4 linked regions of the Notamacropus eugenii genome follow. The protein of the gene in region 2 interacts with the protein of the main gene of each other region in a pairwise test. Links are inferred from orthologs where the notes say so. Each region holds a gene or a part of one and is shown on either strand. Other genes may lie near its edges.

Region 1 (7,245 bases), on a different chromosome or scaffold from region 2:
GCCTCCTTCAGCAGCCCCTTGAGAGCCTTTCTAGCAAGGTAGAGGCTATTGGGAGGGGCTGGGTGGGGGCCCTGGGGAGCAAGCTGGAGAACATAGATGTCCGACGTCTCTCCATCGATGAGGATGGATATTCGGTGTTCATCCCGAAGCCGGGCCAGTCGCCCTGGTGTTTCCTTGCTCAGGAAGTCCCACACTGGCTTTGAGACCGTCACCTTGTTCTTGCAGCTGCCCCCACAGGCCGCCATCCTGGACAGGACGAACGACACTGCCCCAGAATGAAAGGGCTTCAGGATAGGGTCTATTTGCCAAATACCAGTGCCTCTACTCTCAGTTCCCACTACCTACGTGAGATTAGCATTAGCCCCATTCCAAAGCCCAACCCAATACCACCTCTCACCAAAGAAGTACCCATTTTATTTTAATCTCCAAAGTTCAGCATCCCTTCCATTCTACTGCATTCTAACCAAAGTTCTCCCAGTAAAGACTAGGGTAATTCCTCAAGATGAAAGATTATATTGCAATGTAAGGAAAGTTGCTTCAAGGTACAATGGCCTTCTCATTTTCATTCAATCCCAAACCCAAGGCATAGTATCTCTTCCTGGTCCCCCCTCCCACAACTCCCAGCAGTCTTATAGGGTCTTCTTTCAGAATGGGAGATTCAATTGATTTATTACCATTTAAACCAAACATATGAATTGATCCCACTTTCCCCTATAGTTACACTGATTACCTTTTTCCCTGTCCAGGGTAAAGTCATGTACCCTGGCAGGGAGGCTTCCCAGCCTGGCATATCCAGAATTGGCTTTCCTTTTCTCTCTCTATGTCCCTACTTATGGGCTAGAAATATCTGATCTAATGGTGGTGGTGGTGAGTCTCTCTGTCCAGAGTTGGGGAGAAAATAAGGGAACCTTCCTGGATACATCCTAACTCAGAGACCCTATGTACTTGAGCAGCCCTGGGAGTGGAAGAATTGGGATTTCTAGAGTCAAAGTTACTGAAGCACTGAAAACAAGATCCCTGGGGTAGGAACAGTGAGGGATGGGTAGGCATCAAATTACTTGGAGGACTGGTACCTGGAGAGCCCATGGACGATGGTGGCAGGAGGAATCCCGGAAGTTTCCACACTCAGCTGGACTTTGACCCCAACACTGGGTGAGGGCAATAGGGTTATAATAGAAATTGTTTCCTTACCTGTCCCTCCCTTTCTCCTCCCTCCTTGACACCAGCCAATTGCACCCGGCATCTCCCTTTCTCTTCCCCCACCCTTGGTATTCCATCCCCTTTCCAAAAGAAGCTTTGTGGAGACTGAAACTTCAATACTCCAGCTTCAAACCTCTTTTCATCCCTAACACTATGACCTTACTTCAGGGGCCTTTTTCCTTCAGTGAAAAGATACGAGAAAAGAGGAATAACTGATATTGGAAAAGTCTCAAAAACTGATCTGTCAATTGTCTTAACCATTATCCTGCCCCCTTGCCCTCAGTTCAAACAGGTAGGAATTTCCTCTGTGTTCTTGCACTTCCACTGCTCTCACAATTCCTCCTGATTCCCAAATTGTATACCCTCAAGGCCTGCAAATCCTCCCTAAGGTCTAACCTTAATCACTCCTGCTTGCTGGCTGTTGAAGATGTGGACAAAGTGGTAGCAGACTCTATAACAAAAAAATATCCATAGTTCACTCTTACTAGTTTAAGACCAGGTATCTCATCTGTCCATCAGCATAGGCTATCATGGATGGGGAATATTCATACATGGGTCTAGTTCCTAGAAACTGGGGCATGCCCTTCGTGCTCACAGGTGTACTTCCTCAGGTCTCCATCTCTCATCCAGCTAGGAGGAGAACCTCGGGACTGAACTAGGGGTCAAGTTTAAATTCTGGCTAAATCAAACATTGACCCTCTCTGTTGGGAGAAAAGGCTGCCCTTGCCTGTGTCTCCATCCTATCCACCCCCCCCTCCACTTCCCATCCCCCTCCCAACCCCGAGGCTGTCTACCCCTAAGGGCTCTTAGCCCAAACCCTGGGGCAGGGTGGCTCCAGGCTGGGAGCCCTGTGACAGCGGAGGGCAACCCCGGACACTGGTTTGGCTAAGGAAATGTCGGGGGGAGGGAAGGGCCCGGCGGTCCGTGACCTACCGGGCCGGTCCCACCCCCCAGATTGGGGCGGGGCCAGCGAAGCTGCTGGAGTGGGCCCGGATCCCCGAGTCCCCATCGCCCCTTTCCCGAAGCCCTCACCCCGCGCCACACCGGGCCCTGACTGCCCCGGCGCACACACGGATACACACAGACCCCGCGCGCACACGCCCGGGCCCCCTCCCCGGCCCCGCAGCTGGCAGGCCCCGCCGAGGCCCCGCAGCACCCTCCCCAGCATCCATCCCCCCGACCCCGCAGCCCAGGGGAAGACGCCCGGCTGGGAAGCGGCCGCCGCGGGTGGGGAAAGGCGAGGGTCCCCGCGCTCCGGGGAGTCGGGTCCGAGGGGCGCGAGCCCGCGTCCGGGGGGCGCTGGGGGGAGGGGGGGCCGCCGGGCTCACCTACCTCCCGTCAGCGCCGCCATCGCCGGTCACATGACTGAGGCTGTTGCTGGGATGACGGTCCGGACCTTAGCAACGGGGTGGGGGGGAGAGGAGGGAGAGGGATGAAGATGGGGAGGGGGACCGGGGAGGGGGGACCTAAAGGAGGGGAGGCGGGGCCCACAGCAGCGGCCCCCTCCTCCAGATCGGAGGCGACAGTTGCCGCCTCTCGGGCTCCACCTCCAATCCCGGAGCGTCCTTCCTGCGCCTCCCCAGCCCTCCTTCCGTGAGGACGCTCCTGGGGGCGGGGAGAGAGGGAGGGAGGGAGCGAGGGCAGGGCAGGGAGGGGTGAGGGAGGGAGGGAGCGAGGGCAGGGCGGGGAGGGGTGAGGGAGGGAGGGAGCGAGGGAGGGAGGGAGCGAGGGCAGGGCGGGGAGGGGTGAGGGAGGGAGGGAGCGAGGGAGGGAGGGAGCGAGGGCAGGGCGGGGAGGGGTGAGGGAGGGAGGGAGCGAGGGAGGGAGGCTGGGAGGGAGCGAGGGCAGGGCTGGGGGAGGCGGTGAGGGAGGGAGAGGCGAGCCAGCCTGGGAGCCCGGGGAAGAAGCCCCCCCGCCCTCCTTCACCTGTGCCCCTCCCCAGCACCGCCTTCCACCTTTCTCACCTTTTTGCTTTCCCAGTCCACTGCGCGGCTGCCGGTGGGGGTGGACGGAGCCCGGGCAACCTCGGCTTTGTGGGAGTCGGGTTGGTCGAGCGAATCGACCTGGAAATTGGATGACCTGAGTTCAAGGGCCACCCGAGACCCCTCTGAGCTGTGTGGCCCAGGGCGAGTCACTGACTTCTCTGCCCCGGGTCTTGACAGGGAGATGATCTCGAAGATGCCCGTCGGCTCTCTGTCCTAGATTTATGAGATTGGGTGGAAGGAGCCCCCTTTCGACCATTTACCCACTTTTAGGATGTTCATTGCAGATGGAGCCACAGAAAATTGAAATGAAGGAATAATGGATATTAAAAATACGCCCCTGTTCTCCGTGTGACCTAGGATAAGCCATCTGACTTATCTGAGGCTCCGTTCTTTATGGGCAAAATGAATGGACTGGACTAGATGGCTGGTCCCTTTCAACTTTTTGAGTCTAAGATCCTGAAGTTGGGTGAAGGGAAGACACTCTTTATCATTTACCCATTTTAGCGTTCAGGCCAGACAGGAACGCAGGCAGAAAGGTGGAATAGATTAAGAGAATAATACACCCCTCAACCCCATTTCTATAGCATTTGGAAGTCTTATAAAGAGCTTCGCTCATATCCATTATTCAAGGTAGATGGTAAATTATTATTCCTCTTTTACAATGGAAAAGCCTAAGGAACAGAATTTTCAATTTCAGCAACTTTTCTATTTTTAGTATTTTATTTTTCAAAAAACAAAAATTTTACTTTTTTCCAAGAGATCTGACCTCTTCCACTTCTTTCCCCCTCCCCACTGAGAAGCAAGAAAAAAAAAAACCTGTTAAAAACATATATAATCCAGCAAAACAAATTCTCATATTAGACATGGTCAAAACCATTGCCTTAATTTGCATTCTGAGTCCTCTCTGCTAGGAAATGGGTAGCAGATTTCATCTACAATTCTCTGTAATCATGGTGGGTCATGGTTTTGATCAGAATTCCTGAGTCTCTCAACATCAGAATTCTTAAGTCTTTATGTTAGTGTTCTCCTGGTCCTACTCAAGGAAGAGTCTTTTTCACGGCCACTCAGTTAGTAAACATCTACCTGGGGAATTCAAGTCCAGTTCTCCAGGTGCTGAGGTCAACACTTTCCTAATTATACCATGACTCTTAAAATAACCCTGTATTGCTCTCAAATTGAAGTCCCCTCCAACAATAATCCTCACCCATCTCCAAATGCCAAAGTCAGAGCCCAACTTTGAATTTACAAATTCTTTAGCCCACACATTAACAGAAAGGGAAAATGAGGAAGTAGAATGTTATCAAGGTGCCCTGAAAAAGGGGATTCAAAGTTCATTTGCTGCTCAGCCCTTCTAATACTCCTCCCAAAATACCCAGCCTAATCCAAATCTGTGCTGCATTCCAGATTAAAACCTTGTACCCTTTTGTTCACCCTAGGGCCTCATCTACAAGTCTTTTTTTTTTTTTAACTGTTTTTTTTCTTTCCCAGCAGCCAAAGAGGAATTTAATAAGGAGGCTTTTGGAAATCCCAGGGGACTGTTGGGAGAGCACTATCAATTCATTCTTCCCACCCCTGGGACTAGATGACTGATTTTTCTCCAGCATGCTTTCCCAGGACCCAGCTGTATCCCTTCCCCTCACCCACTCTCTCCCTTGCAGTCAGAAGATTTCTTCCCAAGAAGCTTGCTTCCTACTCAGCTTCTCTGCTGAAAGGACACATGCATTTTATTGAAGGGCTATGTGTTCCAAGAAATCAAGATCCCAGAGGAGGTTAACCTCCAAGTTCAATATCTGGCACTTCAAAGTTCTCATAGTTGAGAGATACTTCTCTTTTCCTCTTCAAATATAATCTATTATATTCCTAAGGCAAAAAACAAAAACCTCAGGCAACCCAAGACTTTTTCTTCTCCTCTCCCCTTCCCCAAATATTCCATTTTCCTTTAAGGATCATCATCACTCATCCTCAAAACATAGTCTCCAGGTTTAGGGCACCACAGTTTTGCTGCTAGACTTTTCAGCTCCCCGTTCTTCCTTATTCTGAACCCCAACACTCAATAACAGCTTTTTTATAGTATTTTAGGGTTTCCAAAGCACTTTAGTCTCATTTGATCCCTTTGACAACCTTGTGAAGGATTAAAGGCATTATACCCATTTCACAGATAAGGAAGATTAGAGAGATTAAGTTATTTGGCTAAAAATATACACTACTAAATTTGTAATATGGGATTCCCATCCAGGCAGTGTCTATTTACTCCATGTCTAGTACTCCCATGCCACAGTGAATCTCAAAAATACACAAAGCACAAAGAGGGACCAGTTCAGGTTTAATAATTTACTTCTATGTTGAGACAGCAATGGGAATATGCAAGATTATTATTTTTTCTTTTCTTTAAAAAAAAAATTGCAACAAATGAAGACACCCATACTGCCCCTGATGCATCAGCTACATGGTCAGAAAACCAATTTCTAGAGAAAGGCAGTTGCAGGTGTCCTAAATTTTATTGCATTTAGACAGGGGAAAGATAGGGGGAAGGAGTAAATTCAACCAGGCCCCTAGAGGAGGGATAAGAGGGAGGCACATATTAGATGTCACACATACCACACACACACACAAATCAGGTAGCCATAACACACACACACACATACACACACACACACACACACACACACACAACTTCAGTTTCCTCCTCCTGAAGAATAAAAGTGGGAGCAAGGGAGTAGGTGGGAGAAAACATTCACAGGGCTATCTCTTATTGACAGAACAGTCCAGCCACACAGGGAGTACTGCACTGACCCATAACCTTGGACAATACTGGAGAAACCTGGGAAGGAGTGATTGTCTCAACTCCAAAGTGAGTCTATAGCCCTTTCCCCTATGCTCATGCCCCTCAACCCCCAGTTAGATATACTACTCCTATATAATTCAGGGAGGGACAGTTATGGCTGATTCCTCTCAGGAGGTAGGGAATAAGGAGGACAATGTCACCTATTTCTGGGAGATATAACAACAGCACAAGGCAAGTTGAAAGGGGGCAGGCTGATGACAAAGCTGAAGGGAGAGAGGAAGAAGGAATGGTGCTGAGTTCAATTCACCCCAAAAATAACCAGGTTTGGTCCAGGTTGAGGAATTCCCCTGTCCCTGGAACAATACCCAAAAGTAAGTAGACAAAAAGAAAGTAATATTAAATATAGTGAGCTTTTAGCTCCAGAATCTTTCTTTACCCCAGTCTCCCAGACTAGCCACCTAAATGCCTAAAGAAATGGTCCCAGTCCCAGGTAGGGACAGAGGCTCTGGTATCCAGCAGCAGCAACCAAACACCAACCCCAACTCGGGCCTAGACAGAGAGAATGCTAAAAGACTTAGGTTCTCAGGACACTGGGGCTAGGAAACCATTCAAAGTCCCTGACAAAGCCAAGTAATCCCTCAAGTCCCCAACCCAGTGAGAAGCCAACCTGCTGGCTGCATCTTCCACACACCCCTCCACTTCAATGAGCAAGACTGGCTACACCACTTTATGCACACTGCTGCATCCCCATCTGCCCCAGGTACATGAGGGAATGTTGGAAGAGTGAAGAGTGAGCCTCTATGCCTCCAATAAAGTTAAACAGCAAAGTTCAAGCCATGCTTAGGCTCAAGCTTTCCAGGCCAGAGCAACATCCGGAACCAGTCATTGGTCCTGCCAGGGTCAGAAGATACCCCTCCCCCCAACCAATTCAGCTCCTCCTATTTTACAAAAATAAAACGACATTTTACAAAGATCAAGGCACTTGGGAGTGAAAAAAAAATCCTCAGTAAAACCCTAATGAAGCTGACTCTGGGGCTGGTGTGGGTAGGACAAGAAGCAGGGAGGACATCACTCTGGGAGCGGGGAGAGGCAACCTGGACTTAGCTAAGGAAGAGGACACCTGTAACTCCTTCAGTCTTCCCCCTATAGCCCTGTCACTCTTTCCTCCCCCACCCAATCTAAGGAGATATCATGGAGTGCCAGTTAGTCTCCTAGGCAAAGATGTTGGTGATGAAATCTAGGAACCGCTTGGCATATTGATCAGGATGAACAGTA
Region 2 (6,986 bases):
ATCAGAATGTAAGTTCCATTTCAAGGGCAAGGACTATTTTTTGCCTTTCTCTGTATTCCCTGCATTTAGTGTGGTGCCTGACACATAGTAAGTCCTTAATAAATGCTTTTATATATATATAATGTATGTAAATATAACAGGCACTGGGATATAGAGGAAAAACCCAACATTCTCCTGGCCCTTAAGAAGCAACCATCCCATTGGTTGAGACAACTTGTACACATATACAGCAAGTATATAGAGAATAAATACAAGGTAATTGAAGGAGAGAGGGCTTTAACAGCTGAGATCAGGACGGGCTTCATGTAGAAAGCAGCACCCAAACTGTCTTGAATGTACAAACATTTAAGTGCCCACTATGTGCCAAGTGCGGGCAGGTAGGGGGTGAAGTGGACAGAATGCTGAGCCTGGAGGCAGAAAGACTCATCTTCCTAAGTTCAAATCTAGCCTCAGATCCTTACTCTCTGTGTGAGTCTGGGCAAGTCACTTAACTGTATTTGCTTCAGTTGCCTTGTCTTCTAGCTCTAAATCCAATGAATCCACAGTCCTAGCTCTTCCATTAATTCACTGTGTGACATCAAGAAAGTTCTTCATTTCCTCAAATGAAAAAATAGAACGTGGCTAGACCATCTGCAAATCCCTTCTAGTTCAGACATTCTGTGGCTCTACGTTGGCTTAAAGCATGAACACTGAGAGCCCTCCTGGTAGTCCCTGACAGGAGGAAAATTTGTCCTTATTTTGCCATAAGTTTGAGAGTTCCTTTGCAATAAACAAATTCAAAACCAAAATTCTTCGGTTCTTTCCTGAGGTCTTTCATTGTCAGGGAAATGTCAGTTTAGAAGAGTAGAAAGTGAAAGTGGAGAACTCAGATCACCTTCACCCTGGATCCTGGGCACCTCATTCCTATAGGAGGAGAAGGAGGAAGAGAAAGAAGAAAGAAGAAGAAAGAAGAAGAAGAAAGAAGAAGAAGAAAGAAGAAGAAGAAATATTTATGTGGGCTCTAGCTATTAATAACTATATTACAAATTAGAACTAATCATTTAAAAATATTTATTCAATGAAAATAACAGCAATCCTATAGTATGTTAATAGCATGTTTTATGAAAAATAACTAATTTTCCAAACAAAAAATGTTAATGAGGAATAGTATTGTCTTACATACTTTTGCAAATTTCTTTAATGACTGGCTTAATTGAAGACAGCTGTATTCTCACATCTGCTTCTGCATTCAATCTGTTGTATCTGGTATTTCAGCTTAAATATATGAAAAAATCCCTCTTGAGATGCATGGACAGCTACATAGCTAAAAAAGGAAGACTGACTCAAAGAACATCTTAGCATTCTTATGAAAAAAAGTTCTGAGCTTTCAGTTCCCCTGAAAGGGTCTTGGGGACCCTCAGAGTCCAAGGTCCAGGGACCACAGACACTGAGAACTCATGTACTGAAAGGCTGAGAAACTTGCTCGGTGTTATCCAATGTGTGACTGAGGGAGGACGGAAATCCAAGTGTTCCTGACTGAGAGGTCAGCTCTCTATCGCCCTGCTTAACCGCAACAACAATTCTGCGGTCCTTTAAGATTTGCAAAGAGCTACCCTTATATACTACCTCCTTTGTAGTAAACATCGAAGCTGAGATGAGAACACCATCATCTCACAGGTAAATTCAGTACTGTTCCAATGATGCCACGCTGCCTACCACATCCCAGCAGTCCTGGTCCCAAGGTGGACAGTGCCACACCAGACCAGGGCGCTAAGGATCTGCCAAGGGTGACTCTCCCAAAGTTCGACCCCCTCCCAGCCAGCTCACTTTAACTCACAGCGTCATAGGCTTTAGAAGAATCCTGGAGAAGATCTAGACTAGCTCTCCCCATCTATGCAGTAAACTGAAGCCGGGAGAGGGGAAGGACGTCTTTTGCCCCAACTTCACAGAGAGCAAGTTCGGAATTCAGAGCTCTTCATCACCACACCCTGACCCCCATCTACGAGAAAGCGAGCCTGGGGACTTTTCACAGCTCTTCCTCACTTCCATCCAACTCACTGGCACGTCTTGGCATCCCTTCCCTAACGTCACGGTCCTTTTCGAAAACCAAGGACAAACAACAAGGATATTCTATATAATTGGAATGTGAGGAACTTGAAGGCAACAACCCCCTTTGCTTTCCTTCGTCTCTCCAGCACTTAGTGAGATACCTGGCACATAGGAAACCCTTCACAAACACTCGCTGGCTGATTATTTCCATTTGGGGACTGTGGTCATTCGTAGCCAGGAAACGAAACTGAAAGAGATTCAAAGCAGGCTGATAGGGAGTCCAAGCCCGAGGCACCTCGGGGGGACCAGAGGAAACCCTCTACGTCTGCCTCTCAAAACCAGTTCCCGTGGCCTCTCCCCTGCCCCCCTCACATGCCACTTCCCGGATGAAGGATGGACTCAGGAGGAAAGGGACAGAGGTCGCCCAGGGAGTGTTCTGTCTGTCCGGGTCAGCGGACAGATGAGGTAGACCAGGAGGAGGATAGAGGGAGGCAACAGTGGTTGGATGGGGGGGGCAAGGGGAATCCTGAGGGTGGGGTTAGATGAGGACCAGGAGCCTGGGAGGATGGGGTGTGAGAGGGTAGGCAGAGGATGCCTTGGGTCAGAGGGAGAGGGCTCTGTGAGCGCGACAGGACCAGGCAACCCTGTTCACCCCTCCTAGCTCACCGCAGCCCAGAGCTTTTACCTTCGCAGCGCGCTTGCTTGCTGTCATGTCTGGGGATGCGGAGTGCGGGGAGTCAGGGGGACTCCTGGCTGACCGAGAGGCAAGGAGGGTGGGCGAGGGCTGGTGAGTGGCGGCGGGATCGCCTTACGAGTAGTTTGGGTCTCGCGGACCTTCCCTGGAACCGACGTCGAGATCTGTGTTCAAATTCTGACTCCGGCGAATTCTCTGGGTGATCTTGGTTCTGGGCTTCTGCTTCCCTATGTGTAAAATGAAGGAATTGGCTGGGCTTATCTTTGAGGTTTCTCCTCCCTTTGAGGTTTTTCTGGATGCCCCGCCCCCGCCCCGCCCCTTCTCCCCATGGCACCGCCTCCTCGAGTCCTGGGTACAGGTGCATTCCTTCTCCAGACCCCGCAGGGCTGAGCAGTTTTAGGGGAGCTTCTAGCTCGTAAATCTGGAGACAGCGGCCAAGCTGAGACTAACAAGGGCCTCACTTACCTTAGGAGAAGCGGGGGGTCTAAGGGCATGGAATATTGCGATACTGTCAGATTGTAGATAAGTTCATTGATTTTGGCAAACCTTTCCTTTGATTTTTCAATCTTTTGTTACAAGGAATGTCTCAATTAGGAGGAAAGGGGGTGGGGGTGGGGAGCAGCTAGATGGATGCTGCAGTCTATAGTTCGGAGGACTTTGAGTTCAGCTTGCCTCAGACACTTACTAGCTGTGGGATCATGGGCAGGTCACTTAACTCCACTTTTAAAAAAAAGGAGAGGGATAGATATAACAGGAAGGGAATACAAGGAGAGAGGCAGAAATGATGGAGGGAGTAAGGAGCTGGTTTCTGAGTTGGAAAGACTTGGGTCCAAGTCTCTCCTCTGACATCTTCTGGCTGAGTGACCCTACAATGTCACTTCATCTCTCCGTGCCCGAGGGGACTTTGTGAGATGATGAGCGGCAGAAAAGATGCCATTTTCATTCATAGAGGGATTTCTGACACTGCTGACATCACAGGAACTCCCCAAAGTTATATCAGATCAAAAATCATCAATGTTTCTTTTTGTTTTTTAAGTGTGTATCTACCATTATGCCAGGCCCACATCATGCCATTAGGCTGGATATAGGGTTCGAATTTAGCTAGTAAGGGTCCTCAGGCAGAGGAGTTGACCTCAACCCTCCTTGCCTATCTTGAGCTTGCTTTTTTATTGCTGGTTGTAACCTCTGCCACTTCACCTGGAGTGAAGAAAACTTGAAACTAATCCTGACTCTCACATTTACTGTGGAACATTTGGAAAATCTCAGCTTTTTTCAGCTTGTTTTCTCAACCCATATAAATGGGAATAATATATTCAGGGCTGGTATGAAGAACAAATCACATAATATATGTAGGACACTTTGAAAACCTTAAATCAAGCAGTAGCTAGACAGTGAAGTGGATAGAGCACTAGCCCTGAGTTCAAATCAAGCTTCAGACACTTTCTGGCTCTGTGACCCTGGGCAAGTCACTTAACCCCAGTTGCTTCTAAAAAGAAAGAAAAGAAAACCTTAAAATGCTGTACAAATGCTGACTTTTATAAAATACAGGAAAAAGCACTGACCTTCAAATAAGGAGACCTGGACTGGTTTCAGTCACTTTAATTTGGTATGTGACCTTGAGTTATGCCATTCAGAGATACAGAGTAGGAAGGGCCCTCTGAAATCATCTAGTTTAAGGCTTTTATTTTTACAAATGGGGAAAATGAGGCCCAGATTCAGGAAGTAAAGATTTATACCAGGAGTTTGCTATTGATAATGATGTGCTCTTGGGCAAGTCACTAACCTTTTCTGCTTCAGTTTTCTTCCAGTCCTAAGATATATTATAATCTGTTCGAGTTCTCTTCCTTCCCTTCTGTGCCTCCCTCCAGAGTTCTGTTTTGAGAGATGGATTAGCTTCAAAAAGGTACTTTTCTTTGGCCACTACTCCTCTAACAGAATGTCAGCTCCTTGCGGGTAAGGATTGTCTCATTTTTATATTTGCATATGCAGCACATGTAGATGTTTTCCCCCTCTTTTTATATTTATGCTCAATTTTAAAATAAAATTAAAACAAAATAAAACTAACATTTCCATATACATTTTGGAACAGACAGTAAGGATTGTATGTGAAACTGCAATTCTCCAGTATGTAGGGTTGTATACAACTTGTTTTTCTTCTTAAGTACATAATAAGTTCAACAAATAACTTTCAAGCAAGTTCTGCTTGTCCTTGATTCCTTCTGGTCTTCTCATTTAGGGTAGTGGGTAAAAAAATGCTATTATCCCTATCCCTCCTTTTCCCACTCCCATGATGGGTAAGGGAAGGCAAACCCAAATATTCATAGCCAAGCAAAACAAACTTCCCCCATTTGCTTTATCCAAACATGTATATCTTCTTTTGGGTCCTAAGTCCATCACTTCTCTGTCAAGTAGTTGTTAGCATGTCTCATCACTAGTACTTTGGAATCATGGTTGCTTATTACATCAATCAGAGTCATTAAGCTTTTCAAATTTATTTTTCTTTATACTGTTGTTATTGTATAAATTATTCTCTTAGTTCTGCTCATTGTACTCTGCATCAGTTCATACGAGTCTTCCCAGACTTCTCTGAAATCATTCAGGTTCTGCCCCTTGGTAGCCATGTGCAAATCATTTAAACTCTCCAGGACTCAGTTTCCTCAACTGCAAAATAGGAAAAATAAGTTCTAACACTTCATAAGACTTGGCTTGTGATAATGAGATTTTAATAGCTTCCATTTCCTAATCTCTTCACAAAGCACTGTTCTTCCAATGGATCTTCAAGCTAAGTACTGATGGTATTATGCTATGATGTTTTAGACAGCTGTGACAAAATCTTCCACATCTTCTCATTTGATCTTCCCACCAGTTCTGTGAGGTAGAGTGCTATGATTAGTGTCACTTTGCAGATGAGGAAACTGAGGCTGAGGGATGGAAAGTAACTAACTCAGGGTTACACAGAGAGGTAAGATTCAAACCCAAGTTCATTGTGGTAGGAATGCTGGATTAGGTGTCAGAGAACCTGAGTTCGAATTCTACCTCTGCTACTTACCTAGTATAACAAGTCACTGCAACTCTGTGGAGCTGTTTTCTCATCTGTAATGTAAGGAGGTTGAGCAGATGACCTCAGAAGTCCCCTTCAGCCCCCCCCCCCATGATCACAAACTGGACTCCAAAATTCTTTTCCAAGGGTTCCTAACATTTTTTGGGTCACTGTCCCCTTTAGATTTCAGCAAAAAACTTCCTGTACTCCCTATTCAGTATGGAAAAGAATTTTTTTTAAATAAGTATTTAATTTAAATAAGAGACCTGACAGCTTGAAGACTAAATTAATAAGAATTTAAATGTCAATAAGTCTTGAATTTCACAACAGCAAGTCAACATTTACATTCAGAGATTTTGTTGTTGTTTGGTTGTGTCCAATTCAATATAACATCATAGACATGATCTATGAGGTTTGCTTTAAAAAAAACCTGTTTACTATGTTCATATATATGAAAAGTAAAATAGGAATCAAAATAGATTTTGTTATATAACATTTAGTATCATAAAGTTAAATGTTTTTCAATTTATCCTATTCACAAATTTTTCCCACTAATTCCTACTTTTGGAATATTTCAATAGTATATTACAGTTCTTCAGAGGAAGGGTGGTACAATGGATAAGGTGCTGGCCTCAGAGTCAGGAGAATTGGATTCAAGTCCTTCCTCAGACACATATTGTCCCTGTGACCCTGGAGGAATGACTCCCTTAACTTCTCAGTGCTTCACTCTCTAAGAGAGACTGTAGAGACTGTGAGGCTTGGAATTTGTATAGGAAAGTTCCTTTAATAAGGAACTCCCTAACAGGAGTTTCCCAGACCAACGAAATCCCCAGTCCAGTCTATATCCTTATCCCGAAGTAGTTACTTATCAAATATTCCATGTACCCCAAGTTGGGAACCTTTGCTAATAATGCAGGGTAGGGAACCATTTCTTGCAGGTCAGGAATCTAAGCCTTCACTCTAAGACATAAGAGAATTAAGTAAGTCTCTTGGGATCATCCAGCTAGAATCTGTCAACAGAGAATGGGAAGTGAACTCTCTAGCCCAGGACCTAGGCTCTCTGCACAGCACTACACTGAAATAATATACCTGAAAGTGCATTGGAAAGAAGTCATAAAAAAAAAAAAGAATAAGAAAGAAAGAAGTCTTCACAATCTTAAAGGTTAAAATGAGACTTTTATAAAACCCACTTCTGACACTTAACTGTGTGCCTGTGGCCAAGCC
Region 3 (7,145 bases), on a different chromosome or scaffold from region 2:
TAGAGCTCCACCTAGAAGACAATCACAGAAACAGACTTTTTTTAGAGCTGAAAAGGGCTTTAAGAACATCATTTAATCCAAACTCATCATTTCATTGAAGAAGAAACTGAGGTCCAGAGAAATGTTACTGCTCAAGGTCACAGAGCTATTTCTTTAGAATACTGAAATGCCTTGGTCCATCTGCCCCCATTTTAAAGCCTTTCTCATTAATTTTGTTTTTTTCATAAAGAAATTATTCATGTATTTTCAAGGAAGCATGCTGTACTTGAAATCAACAAGACCTAGGTTTAAATCCATCTACCTTTCTACTAATTTATAGATGAAAGGAATCACAGTAAATCACAGATCCTTGATGTATTCATATTTTCACAAATGATAAAATAAAGGAGGAAGAAGAAATTCCCAGGACTAACTCCCACATATGATTTTTCCTTAGTCCTGCATAAAGAAGGCACCTTCATATAAATTACCTATTTCAGCTTCAAGAAACTGGTTGAAAGCCTTACAATATAGGTATGGATTATGTAAGGCTTATACAGCCTAGAACACTACAGTTTTACAACCCTTGGTAAAATGAGAGTGGTCTCTACATATCTTAAAGCATGTTTATATGTGACATATTAAAACTTCCCTTAAGCAGAACCCATTATTAACCCAGGGAAAACCTCAGGAGTATATTATAGAAATATGTGAAACAGTCCAACTGGGCCAAATCATTAAGGAAGTAAGTGAGACAGCCTAGCTAGAAAAGGTTGAAAGAGAATTAGAGGAGGCAAGAGATATGAATTCTAGTTTTGATTATGCCACTAAGAAGCAGAAAACCCTCAAGCAAGTCACCTCCCCTCTCTGGGTTTCTCTTCTATAAAACACATTATAATACTTACAGCACCTACCTTGCAGAAGAACCATTTGAGGAAAACAGCTCTTAGTAAATAATAAAGTGCTTTAGAAATGTGAGCTATTATATCATGATTATTAGATCATATTTAAAATAGCTTCTAGCCCTAATGTTCTATGATTCTACTTTTATGACTTTTAATCTTCATTAAAGTGCTAGAATAAGATGACACGTTAGAACAAATCGAGTGAAGTGTTACGTCATGCTGTTCCCCTGTCTTATAGTAAGGTTGTGAGCCCAAACCCTAGAAGAAGAAAGAGATATAAGAGCTAAGGTTTCGTCCAAGAACCACATATCTTTATAGCCCAAGTAGATACTCGACTGGGATTCAATGGTCAAGCCTTTAAAAAGTGCTTACTAGCACTGAGCCTTGGGAGCACAAAGAAAATTAAATAGTTCCTAGTCTAGTCTCTCTGCAATGAATAAAAGGAATCTTTCTGCCAAAGGAGCACAGATTGTGGGGAGGGGTCACCTCTCCACTAACCGGCCATACCCATCTCTCAAAATGCATTATCATTCTTCAGATTTACAAGCAACACAACCGCAATCCTCCCACCACTCCCCCCCAACCCATCACCCCCATGGCGACCCGCCATGTCTGGAATGCAGGCAGCAGCCAGCCCAGTTCTTGGCCAGTCGAGAGCTGGGTTTTGATTATCTATTGACAATTTCATGCACAGAGCAAGCAGACGAGCCAAGGAGAAGGGCAGCAGGGTGGGGATGGGAGCAGCGCTGTCACAACTGGATAGAGCTGAGCTGCACAAACTCTCCAAACGCTGAGAGGAAGCAGGAACGCAACCCAGCAACCTTGACCTCTATTCCCAGTTCCCACTCTCCTTCGCAGATGAACCTGACCTAGACAATCCCCTGCCCCCCCCCCACCCGACCCCACCCTAACCCTTTCCAAATCCAAAGCTAGGGCTGGTCTTCGGGGCAGGTGGCGAAAAGAACGCGGGGATGAAGGGGTCTAGCCAGATGCAAAGCTCGGGTCTACGCCAACCTCCCCACCCATCACCTACAGACAGCCCCCACAGCAAAGGGCGGGGAGGGGGAGAAGAAGGATGTAAAAGCATTAACAATGCCGGAGAAGCAAGAGGCGCCGGCCCCGTTAGGCTCACCCCCACCCCAGTCCTTCGAAGGTCAGACCGCTGCCCACCTCCCCAGAATGCCCCCACGCCCTTCCTCCCCGCACCGCGGCCCGCCGTCTGCACAGATATACAAACCAGCTCTCGGGGCAGTCAAGGCCAAAGGCAAACGCCGCCCGCCCGCCCGCCCTGCTGCCAGTGGACCGGAGAGTGGTCCGCAGCGGCGGGGGCAGAACCCGAGAGCCGCCGCGGGGAGCGCCAGGCTCGGCCGGGCAGGGGCCACCTCCTCCCGCTCCCGCGGCGTCTGCTCTGGATGCGACAGAGCAAGCCATGGTAGAGAGAGGCGGGCGGGCGGCTGGACTGACGGACGGGCTCCCTCCTCCTACTCCTCTTCCTCCTCCTCCTCCTCCTCCTCCCCCCAGAGTCCTTCCCGAAGGCGTCCGCAGTGCGCATACAAAGGGGGTCGGAGCCGCCGCTGCCTCCTTTACCTGGGTATTTGCCGCAGTTCTGCCGTGGCGGGCGCGGGCGCGGGCACGGGCACGGCCTCCTCGGGCTGCGCAGCCTCCTTCCTCTGTCTGTTCTCTCTCTCTCTCTCTCTCTCTCTCTCTCTCTCCCTCCCGAGCGGACACTGCAGCAGCTGCAGCCGCCGCCGCCGCCCCTCCTCCGGGCACCCACCGCTCCCCACGCCCCCCTGCTCCCAGCCCGCGCAGGCCCTGCTCCGGGACTCAGCCGCCTGCCGCTGCCAGGTCTGGCTCGGGGCGTCTGCGGAGGCTTCTCTTTATTGCACCGTGGCTCCCCCCCAGCCCCTGAAGTGCTACTGGGGTGGGGGGCGGGGGGATGAGTGAAAGGGGGGGAGGGGGGAGGAGAAGAGGCCGCTAATCGGAGCACAAAGACGCCGTAAAGCATCCGGGGGGTTGCTGCAGCGTCTGCCTCGGAAGACCCCCGCCTGGCCCCCACCCCCTAGGAGCGCGAGCGCGGCTCCCTCTGCTGACCAAGGGGACGAAGTACCGACTCGGAGAACGCCTCCCTTCCCAGGCCAGTTTCCCGTCTCTTAGCTTCTCACCCAAACTGGCCCTTCCTTAAAGAAAAGCCTGGGATCTGAGACCGGAAGCCTAATCCGTCCTCTTTAAAGTGAAAAGAGACCTCAGCTTGAATTCAGACCCTGCTTCCCCTACTTGCTTATAGAAGGGCTTTGGACATATTGGATTTGGAGTAGAATCCAGGTTCTGCATTTACCATCCTATTGACCTTACGCAAGGCATTGGGATAGATTCTTGGGCTGCCTTGTCCCATTAAATACCCTCACTTTCTGTTAGGGAAATACTCCAGAAATGCGTCTTCCAGCTCCAGATGTCATTTTTGATGACTCAGCTCCATCTCATCTGGCCATCATTTCTCTAGAAATGACAAGAAAGGAGCAGCTGAAATGGTAATAATGAATCATAAAATGTCAGAGCTGGAAAAGGTCATGTCGCTCAACCTCTTCATGTTATGAGACTAATAATAATGATAATAGCTAACATTTATCTATCATTTTAAGGTCAACCAGTCAACAAGCATTTATTGAACACTTACCCTGTGCCAAGCAGCAAAGCACATGATCTATATTATCTCATCATGATCAGTGAAGGCAGCTGACTTCCAAAGGTAGATAGTGATTTTTGAAAGGTCACATAGAAAGTCAGTGTCAGCAGAGGTGGAACTAGTAAAGTAACTTCTAAATCCTGGTGCAGTTCTGCTTTCATAGAACAATTCTGCATTTCTGTAGTGACTTAGCGATTTAGGTGGATTCATGATCTCCTTAAAGTGATATCGATGCCACTCTTCTGTTCAAGAAGCCTTTCTGGCTCCCTATTGCTATTCATAATATGACTCTAGCCTGTCCTTCCAGGCTAATTACACATTACTGACCCCCAAATACTCTACCTATTCATCACCAGGCTGACCTATTTGCTGTTCCCCATACACAGTATTTGATCTCTCATTCCCATTCTTTTGAATTGGATGTACCCCCAAAGTAGAATGTTCTCCTTCTTTACTTCTTCCTCCCCATATGCTGGGTACTCTTTCAAGAGGCCATTCCTGATTTTCACAGTTGTTAGGGACCCCATTCTTCCCCACCCTCATTGTGTATTTATTTTGTATTTGTCTTGCATTACCTATCTGAAAACCCAAGCTATTCCTCCTTTTTGATAGGGGATTAAGAGTTCTCTTTTGATGTTAGATCCTATCATCCCTATGAAATCTATGCTCCATGAATGCTGAGACTGGCTCACTTTTATATTTGCATCCCAGAAACAAGCAAAAACAATTTCCTTTTTGTCCTGACATGTGATTTCATTGACATAGAAAACTCCCATTAAGAAAATTCTCTTTACCATTGAAGACCATCAACTACTTTTAACACTTAAAGCCATAGACATTTTGCTTGGGGTATGAGGATATAGACTAGATTATCTAGTGTCCTCCAGCCACTATGTGTCAGATGTTAGACTCAGACACAAACCTTTTTGACTTGTAGACTGACTTTCTATTCCCCAAGCCAATCTGCCTCTTATTGAACACAAAAGACATTGAATAAAGCTAGTTAATTGATTGACTTAAGTTATTCATTCCTTCTCATCCTGTGCTATTTATTTTTGGATTCTTATCAAATGAGGCAGTGAAAAACAGCATAAATAGCATGGTACTTTGAATCAGAGAAGCTCAGTTTGTATCCCAACTCTAATATGCATAATTTGTTTCATCTAGGGAGCAAGTTACAGAACATCTCTGGGCTTAAATTTCCTCAGCTATACAATGATGAAGTTTAACTAAACGGTCTCTGAGGTCTCCTTCAGGTCCAAGTCTTGAGCCTTATAAAATCCTCCAGTGAAGCCCTCCCCAAATGCTGGAGACTTTACTCTGATTCTTTTTTCTATGCAGAAAATATCAATAGAATGTCCTTTGCTCTAGCTCATGACTGGACCGCATCCTATTACATTCATAATTGTCCTTTATAAATCTGCTGTGTTGATCATTGTAGATCTTATGCTAAAACCTGCTTGCCTCCAGCTTGTGTCTTGCCATTCATTGACTTTCAGTCCCTTTGTAATTTAATATAATATGAGATCATAGTATTCCAGAATTTGTAGTCATATAGCATCACTAGAAAATCGCCATGTTAAAGAGATGGACTTCTCCAGAAGTGAGCAGTTTGGAATAACCACAAACCCTGGCTCCTATTCCGTTTGGGGCTTAGCTCATGGTTCATCTTCAAAGTCTGTGAAAGATACAGATACAAAAAATCCTATTAAGAAAGTATGGCCTGGAAGAAGAGCACTGTATTTAAAAGTCAAAAGATCTTCCAAGTCTTGGCTCTAACACTGAGAAGCTGTATTCATGTATTTTAACTCTTTTATTCCTCCCCACTTGAAGAGAATGATGTTTATATTACTTATTTCCCAACCCATAAGCACAAGACATAGGTAGAGAGGTTTCCTGATGTAGGAGGAAGAACGTTAGACTGGATGTTGTTGTTTGTCCTGTATTCTTGAAGAGGACCATGACATCATGGAGGTAATGCTATGACATGCAAATAAATTGGACTTAAGTGAGGGAAGGCTGTGCAAAGTCATCAGCCTCACTTTTTCCTCCAGAGCCATCTGGGTCCATGTGTCACCAAGATAATATTCACAGCATCGATGGTGACTGTGAATATGCTGACATAGTTCTGAATCAAAAAGTATAACATCCTCTCCATATAGGAGGCAGAAGAAAAACATTTATTCAAACACCAGAAAGCCAGATCCATCTTAGTAACCAAGAAGTCAAAACGCATTAGCACTGCAGGGGACAATGTCATTCCCAAGCCTCACCACCCCACCCCCTACTTCCCACGAGCAAACACTCACACTAGCTGTACCTGCCTGTGTCCTCTTTCTCCTTCTCCCTAACTGCTCTCCCTAACTTCCTTGCATCTCTGCTGCACCCTTCCTGTTCTATGCTTTCAGCAAACTCTTCCCACCACATATGACTTAGGCTTCCATGTGATTTAAACAGGTCACATCAGCCTATTAATGGGTGGGAAAGATCTTCAAATTAAGCAAAAGTACATTAACAATACATTTGGCCCCAAGATCTTTTTTAGGTAATTGTCCAATTTTCATCATTAGTTTGACTTGTCTGGCTGATATTTCAGCCCTTCCCAATCCTGTGATGCTTATAGGAGTCCCATGTTTAAACTTATCAGGGCTTCCATATTTAAGGGAGGGCTCTGGCCCAGTATCTATTAATGCCCTAGTTATAGTTGTTGATCCATCTTTCCAACATATTGTCAAATTGATATGGGGTCTGTAATCCTGTCTGTGTATTTATTTAATCTGATCTGGAGGTCAGTCAATTTCCTAGGAACTGAGGTTACAGGAGAGAGAATCTAGAGATTTGGAAAGATGTTTGTAAGGAATACTAATAAAACCAGGGAAAGAATTGGCAAGGGTATGTAGGAGAGGCTGGATTTTATTAATAGGTTATCATGTTATGTATAAAAGCAGAGATGAGCTGCTGAAGGAAAAAAAATCAGATGGAAAAAGAGTTAGCTAGTTCACGTGGGAATTCTCAGTATTTGAGCTCTCCTTTAAAAGAGCAAGCTAGGGCATCTCAGGGTTCAGGAAGGAGGATCTATAGGGGTAGTTTTTACTTCTGTGTTCTATCTAGTATCAAGCTCCTTTTCTTGGTACATTTGGTACACTTTGTATAGATGGAATACCATCTATGGTATTCCAAAAATCTAGCCCTGCTCTCAATAAAGCAGTAAACAGTTCTTTTCTTGTCATTCTATTCTGACTCTCCATATAGGAGGCAGAAGAAAGACATTTATTCAAATACCAGAAAGCCAAATCCCAGTACCAGAAAGCCAAATCCATCATAGAAACCAAGAAGTCATTACCCATTAGCACTGCAGGGGACAATACCATTCCCAAGTCTTGCCACCACTCCCCCACCCCACCCTTGACCTTCCCACATGCAAACACTCACAACACTAGCTGTGCCTGCCTGTGTCCTCTCTCACCTCTGCCTTTACTGCTCTCACCAGTTTTCTCCTAGCTCTGCTCCACCCTTCCTCTTCTACCCATTCAGCAAGCTCCTCCTACCACATGTGACTTGGACTTCCATGTAATTTA
Region 4 (6,928 bases), on a different chromosome or scaffold from region 2:
CTACAGGTGACTTGAATTCATCAATGAATTGGTGGTGATCTTCAGTCATTTTTCAGTCTTCTCCAACTCTTTATGACCTGTTATAGAGTTTTCTTGGCAAAGATACTGGGAGCAATTTGTCTTCTCCAGTTCTTTTTTACAGATGAGGAAACTGAGGCAAATAGGGTTAAGTGACTTGCCCAGGATCATACAACTATTAAGTATCTGAGGACGGATTGGAACTCAGGAAGTTCAGGGAGCTGAGTCTTTCTTCCTGACTCCAGGCCTAGCACTCTATCTCCTGCATCACTAACTCCTTATTTATCTTGGGTATCAACTACATGTTAATCATTTTTGTTTTGTCACTTCCAGCACAAAGGTCATTTTCCTTGGGGTTCACTGAGATCATAGAGCCAAACTAAAATACATATACCAATGAAATAAATGCATGTATCAAGCATAATGCTAAGTGCTAGGGATACAAATACTTTCATTAATTGTTGCCCTTAGGAAGTTTACAGTCTAAGCATGAAGACAAAATATACAGCACAATGGCAATCATGTTCTGATCTCAGAAATCATGAAAACAGTGAATAGAACCACAGGGGAGTAAACTAAGAATATACATGCATACTATGTCAATAAAAATTACATCTGTTTGCTAGTAAGCATGCTCTTGATGCTGATGAAATAAAAATCCAAAACAAAACAAAATATTTTCACATAATCAATTACATGGTTCATTTGAGGAACCTCATTAAACCTATGAAATCATACATAAATAAAAATTCAGAAATCACACATAAAAATCTTTCACTTTTATAACAAATTAAGATATATTTTTGCTTTGCACATACCCTGCATTTTCCTTAAGGAACCAGAGAGCACAACAGAAGAGACAAGTACTATTACCAATCAACACAAGTAATAATACGTCGAAATTCTATTGTGTTCCCTCTCTAGGTTGGTTTGTTTTTTAGAGACTAGCTCTACCTATGTGGTTCAGGTTGGAAGGGCAGTGGCTATGCCCACACTGATGCCAATAGTGATTGGTCACTAAATTTTAATTGGCTCCATTTTTCAGATCTGGGTCAGTTCATCCCTCCTTAGACATCCTGCTAGCACTGGGGATGGGAGGATGGTATTGATGACAGAATCCTTGCAGACACCAGAATGGTTCTAACCCTACAGAAGCTGAGAATCCCAGTAGCAGGGATTTCAGACATGCACCACCACTACAGATAGGCCAATCTCCCAAGGTTTCAATGCACACTAGAAACTTTTCAGCTTCACACACCTAAATGGGTGACACTCAAGATATACTGACCCTATTTCCCACAAAGAAATAAAATAAAGACCTGGAAATGCCAAAACACAATGCAACAAAGTTCAGAGACTTAATACCCACTTCTAAATTCCATCACTAAATCTGGCTTTGAGCCCATAAATCATTCCAAGATTAACCAAAAGAAAAAAAACAACCAACCCTGAGAAATGTATGTTTTTTAATCTGAAAAGGTTAACTAACTTCAATATCTGAAAAAGCTAGTACTAACTGATCCGTTTTCCAGAGGATACCTATTTCTCTATTTTGCAGAGAAAAAAATCTAGGCCAGAAAAAAAAACTATGATTCAACAACTTAGTTTCCCAGCTTGACAGGGATAGAAGAACCAGGCCATTTCCTATCACATGACCAAAACAGACCCACCTGACAAGTAAAAGTGATAAAAATGAATCTGAATTGGTAACTGAGTCAAACTTTTCTTGCCCACTGCCCACCGAGGCCATTATTCACTTTGTAGCCTATTTTACTCACTTTTCAGAACCAAAAGTTTATTCTTTCTGAAAACAGTTACAAAGTTTTTTTTAGTCAATCAACAAGCGTTATTAAGTGCCTACTATATGCCAGGCACTGTGCTGGACAACATGTGAATAATATATACAAAATGGCAATAAGGGTAATGGGTAAGAGTCAGGAGCAACGAAGAGCAAATGTACATTTCTAAGAACAAAATGCCCCATATAGAGCCCCCCATAGGAAGAAACTTGACATTTCACACTTAGGAGACAACAATGTGTCGTTTTGTTTTCCGGCAATCCGAGAGCCAGGCCTGTCACTTTCACTGATGTTTGGTTTACAGGCATGGACGTTTTATTCAGGGGAAACCTCAGAAACTAGGATTCATAAAGAGGGCTTAACTCCTTAAAACATTCAGCAGACACCGACTAGGTAGGGCCAGTTCAAGCCACGATCTCCTAAGGATCTCTAAAGGCACACAAAAAAGGTGGGGACTGTTGGGGGGAGGGGGGTGTAGGAGGAGAACGGGTCTAACTTCCCTAAACAAGAGGCTAACCCTAACCGGAGGGCATCTCCCCAGAAACCCTGAACCCTCCACACGTTTCAAAGGAAAAGGAGCTGCAGGGGGGAGCCAGACAGAGGGCCCGGGAGGAAGGGAAGCGCCCCCCATGCCCCCGTCTACACACATACACACGTGTCCCCCTCCCCACCGCCTCCCAGACCTGACCAGGGTTTTGACCGTGGACCAAGGGCCAGTGGCCGGCAGTTAACTACCCCAAGAGAGAACGAGCTGGGCCCGGGGCGGGGGAGGCTGGTGCTGGCAGCCCGGCCGGGTCTGGGGGGCACGGGGTGTCATGCCGAGCGGGCTGCCCCGGGTAGGGCCGAAGAGAGGCCCGGGCCTCCGCCGGGGAGAGGTCGGAGCCGGCGAGGCCGCCCTGGCTCCCGTTCTGGCTCCGGCCTGGCCCTGGCCCTGGCTCCGGCTCCGGTTCCCGTCAGGTGTAAACAAGGCCAAGGCCAAGGCCCCGCGCGCCCACTCGCTCCTCCTCTCGCACTTACCCGGACGCCGGGGTCCCCGCGGCCGATGTGCCCCGGGCCGGGCCAGGCCTGGCCGGGGCCGGACGGGGGACTGGGAAGAAGGGACCGGAGGCGCAGGGGACTGTACCGACGCGGCTCCCTCGGGCTCCTTCCTCCGGCAAACGCCGCCGACGCCTGAGCCGGAAACGGCCCGTCGCGGTTACGTCACTTCCGGGGCCGGGGTCAGGGTGGCCGAGCTTTCCCGGTCTGCCCCCGCGGGTTCCAGGGTTTTTCCCCGTGAGGCGGTCGCTCTCCCGAGCGAAGATGACGAGAAGCAAACGCTGTGGGGGGTCCTGCCGGGGCCCCTCCTTCCCCCCCAGTCTGAGGCACTGCCCTCACCCCGACCCCAGACTTCCCTGACTGCTTCCTACCCTGGAGACCAGTCTCTTCTAGTGCTGAAAAGTCATCGCCTTGGGATCTTAGAGACCTTAGAGGTTGCAGGGGCCTCATTCAGATGAGGAAACTGAGGCACGATCACAGAGGCAGCAAGCTGCAGGCACTCAGAGGGCCTCCGAACGCAGCGCTCTTTCCGTGAAACACGAAGTTGGAGAGCGGTGCGGAAGAACGTTCATCCACCGCTGATGGTGGGGTAGAAGTGAGGGAGGCAGGGAGCAAGGCTTTCCCTCCAGGACCTCTTATCATCGCCTAGCTTAAAATCCATGTAGAGCATCCTGAAGCTTCCCTTACCCAAAAGAGTGGGGGTGAGCAGAAGCTGATGACCTTTATCTTACTGGTGGACTTGATCATCCATCTGCCTTCAAAAGGGGCAGGGGGGCTTAACAGTAAAATTAATTCTTAGGAGTGAATGAATGAATGAAAACACTGCTTTCCATGAGTCAAACCCAGGGCTGAGCACTGAGGAGGCTTCCTTTGTTGTTTGACCTTCCTTCTAGAGGAGGACCTTGACCTCGGGTGAATTGGCTCTAAGTAAGGGAGGGCTTTGCAAAGTCACCAGCCTCACTTTCCTCCAGAGTCATCTGGGGCCAATGGCCAGATATAGATCAGGACTACTGGAGATGGCCCCTGGCTTCCTTTAGTTCTCACTTAAAATCCTACCTTCTGTAAGAAGCTTTTCTGAGTCTTAATTCTTAGTGCTTTGTCTTCGAGGACTACCCCTAGTTTATCCTGTACATACCTTGTTTGTTGTATATAGTGGTTTGCATGTTGTCTACCCTTTTAGACTGTCCTCTTTCAGAGCAGGGATTGTTTGCCTTTCTTTTTACCTCAGCACTTAGCACAGTGCCTGGCCCTTAGTAAGTGATTAATAAGTGCTAGTTGACTGAGTGACTATTCACAATGAGTTTATATTCTATTAGGTCATGGGACTTCCTAAACATTTAAAAAAATATTTTTCATCAATATTTTATCAATCTGATTGATTTCCTTTGTAATCCTATACATTTTATTTTATATATTCAAGAACATTATTCTGAGAAGAGATCCATAGACTTTACCAGACTTGCCAAAGGGGTCCAATGACACAAAAAGGGTTGGGAATCTCCTTTCTTGAAGTACTGTCTTGCTTGGTCAGTCTCAGAAGCTGTCCCCAAAGTAACTGACACACATTGCCATTTTCTCAAGTTTACTATGGGAAATCTCATACTATATAGTTCCCACCTAGGTCTCCACAGATGTGGGCAAAAGGGTACCCCCAATTCTGGCATAAAATTCAACAAAACGTCGTGTTTATCAGGTATAGAGTAATACATTTTTTTTAACACAAGAAATACAAAGGTCTCACAGGGCTCATAAACGTATTCAGAAAACACATCAACAACTTACAGAGTTGTCTAGAAACAGTTAATGGAGTGAATAGGACAGTCAATAAACATTTTTTATTAGCACCTCCCCCCCATCTTTTCAGTCTTCTTACATCTTTCTCTCCACTTACATGTACTCTTTGATCCGTGAAACTGACCTCCTGCTGTTTCACGAACAAGACACTCCTTTCTCCTTTCCAAGCATTTTCCCTGGCTCTCAATTATTCCTGCGATGCTCTCCCTTCTTATTTTTACCTCCTGGCTTCTCTGACTTTCTTTAAGTCCCATGTAAAAACCTATCTTTTGTAGGAAAGGTTAGACACACACACGAACGTGTGCATGCTCATGAGCTCCCTAAGGGCAGGACTTTTTTGGCCTCTTCTTGTATCCCCTGTGCACAGTACCTGGTGCTTAATAGTAGTTTGGTGCTTAATAAATCTTTATTGACTGTCAGAGGACTGAACATGAAGTCAGGAAGAGTTGAGTTCAGATCCTGCCTTAGACATTTACAAGCTATGTGACCTGGTCCAAGCTCTTCGACTTCCAGCTCTAAATCTAAGATGCTGTGATGCTAATACAATTCTCCTGCATCACTGGTGGGTCCCACTTCTCCAAGGATCATAAAGTCCTCCAGAACTGTAGAAATACCCTATGGTTTGAAATCTCCCATCCAAGAAAAAAATACTTGGAGATGACAAACAATCCAAACCCTGATGTTTTTGAGTGTCTTTCCACAGAAATTGCTCTAGCTATGTAACTGTATGGTATTACTCTTAAGCATAAGTACATTTGGCTTTCCCCAACAATGGTAAGTAAGTTCTTTTATCCACAGAAACCAAGTCATACATATAGCCACATATACATACATATACACATAGCCACATCACACTGCTCTTAGGGCTTGGAGTACCCAAGAAGGGAAGCACATTTAGGATTTCTGGACAGGTAACTCCCCTTCCAAGCAGAGTCTAGATCTCCTATTGAGTACTGTTTGCGACTTTAGTCCTATCCTACTGCTCCTGTCCATGCTGAAGGCCACATTTCCTTCACTTGCAAAGGGTACCACCTGGTAAATTCCATTTTTATATGTATTTCAGGACTGGCTCCCTCTCATCCTGAGATGAAATGAAGCCAAGAGCAAATGGTGAGTACAATGGGGGACTGGCCAGTAAGTCCAATCTTGACTTGCTGATGCACTTCCCACATGGATTTTGGAGAATGCAGACATTCTGTAACTGGTGTAACTATATAGTAAATAGGAATCTCTTTTACTGTCCTTGGCCAAGTAGCTAGAATTAGGGGTACATTCCAAAAGTACTTAGTCAACATTGTCCCTTCTCTTGGTTTTGACTCTTCCACTCTGGTGGCATTACAGTAAGCAACAATGTTGTAGTGATAAGAGGTCTTAGCTCCTCCCTGTCTAAGGATGGCATGGGTTCTGTGAATACGGACTTCAGTTCTTAGTCTCTAGCTTTGGTTTTTGGTTTTAAGTGGAGGAGATTAGGGGCTACAACCTTGTGAATTTCAAAAGGTAATTAAGGGGTGGTATGGTGGAGGTGACTGAGAAAATTTAAAACTCAAAATTTAAAACTCAAAACAAGTGCTGTGTACAAACAAAATCTGAGCCCACTCCTCCCAGAGACTAGGGTGACAGCGTAGAATGACCTGAGGAAAGTGTTGAAGGGAAATGTTTATGTTTCTATTCTAGTTATACCTTTGAAGCATAAATATCTCATAGTTAATTGATGTTAATTGGCTAAATGGAACTGAGGTATCAGGTATTGGTAATTAATGGTGGAGGACAACTGACCAGAATGGAAGCTCAAGCTGATAGTATTAGACAAAGCTACCCCAACTCCTCAGAGTTGTTCCTAGGACCCTTAGGGGTAAATGGAGCTGGCCTAGCTTTGGAAGAGGGTTGCCAAGGTATTGGCCACACAAGGACAAGATAGAAGTCTGAATACTAAAATGCTCAATGGCTACCATAAGGTTGAGAAGTTATATCAATGCCTCTCCAAAGCTTGGATCTGAAACTTGACATTATCCAGGATTCCTCTTGACTTTATGGGGGAGAGTATGTCTGTCTCTGCTTTGTACATTTATCCAAAAGCAGCCACTCAGGATTCTTCTTTTGGGGCAGCAGGTGTCGAAGGGCAGGAACTTCTTCTACCTGGGATACAGTAACAATAAGCCATGAATCAGGGAAATGTCTTTAGTTCTCTCAACAACGTATCATTCTTCACAGGGAGATACTTTCAACATTCTAACAAAGTTTCATGCCTTGTAGGCTCATCGAGTACAATCAATGGAAAAGCA

Evidence for each region. The genes of interacting proteins can lie anywhere in the genome.
Region 1: the proteins of UBE2L6 (region 2) and DTX3 interact in binary tests that used the Homo sapiens proteins (3 or more experiments, as listed by UniProt). The link is inferred for Notamacropus eugenii from reciprocal best matches to the Homo sapiens genes UBE2L6 and DTX3.
Region 3: the proteins of UBE2L6 (region 2) and RNF144A interact in a two-hybrid assay, tested with the Homo sapiens proteins (2 studies listed by BioGRID and IntAct). The link is inferred for Notamacropus eugenii from reciprocal best matches to the Homo sapiens genes UBE2L6 and RNF144A.
Region 4: the proteins of UBE2L6 (region 2) and ARIH2 interact in binary tests that used the Homo sapiens proteins (3 or more experiments, as listed by UniProt). The link is inferred for Notamacropus eugenii from reciprocal best matches to the Homo sapiens genes UBE2L6 and ARIH2.

What each region holds. Positions count from the first base shown.
Region 1 is NC_092874.1:232,974,098-232,981,342, reverse strand, and holds the start of DTX3 (probable E3 ubiquitin-protein ligase DTX3), read right to left. Parts: upstream 3,017-7,245; 5' UTR 2,533-3,016; intron 1,652-2,532; 5' UTR 1,597-1,651; intron 1,149-1,596; 5' UTR 1,087-1,148; coding exon 1,074-1,086; intron 266-1,073; coding exon 1-265. Other genes in the region: PIP4K2C (phosphatidylinositol 5-phosphate 4-kinase type-2 gamma), read right to left, coding at 7,182-7,245. UniProt on the Homo sapiens protein: Regulator of Notch signaling, a signaling pathway involved in cell-cell communications that regulates a broad spectrum of cell-fate determinations.
Region 2 is NC_092873.1:3,196,195-3,203,180, forward strand, and holds the start of UBE2L6 (ubiquitin/ISG15-conjugating enzyme E2 L6), read right to left. Parts: upstream 3,018-6,986; 5' UTR 2,741-3,017; coding exon 2,714-2,740; intron 1-2,713. UniProt on the Homo sapiens protein: Catalyzes the covalent attachment of ubiquitin or ISG15 to other proteins. Functions in the E6/E6-AP-induced ubiquitination of p53/TP53. Promotes ubiquitination and subsequent proteasomal degradation of FLT3.
Region 3 is NC_092872.1:553,632,915-553,640,059, forward strand, and holds the start of RNF144A (E3 ubiquitin-protein ligase RNF144A), read right to left. Parts: upstream 3,017-7,145; 5' UTR 2,890-3,016; coding exon 2,472-2,889; intron 1,761-2,471; exon of another isoform or gene 1-1,760. UniProt on the Homo sapiens protein: E3 ubiquitin-protein ligase which accepts ubiquitin from E2 ubiquitin-conjugating enzymes UBE2L3 and UBE2L6 in the form of a thioester and then directly transfers the ubiquitin to targeted substrates.
Region 4 is NC_092872.1:7,474,585-7,481,512, forward strand, and holds the start of ARIH2 (E3 ubiquitin-protein ligase ARIH2), read right to left. Parts: upstream 3,017-6,928; 5' UTR 2,835-3,016; intron 1-2,834.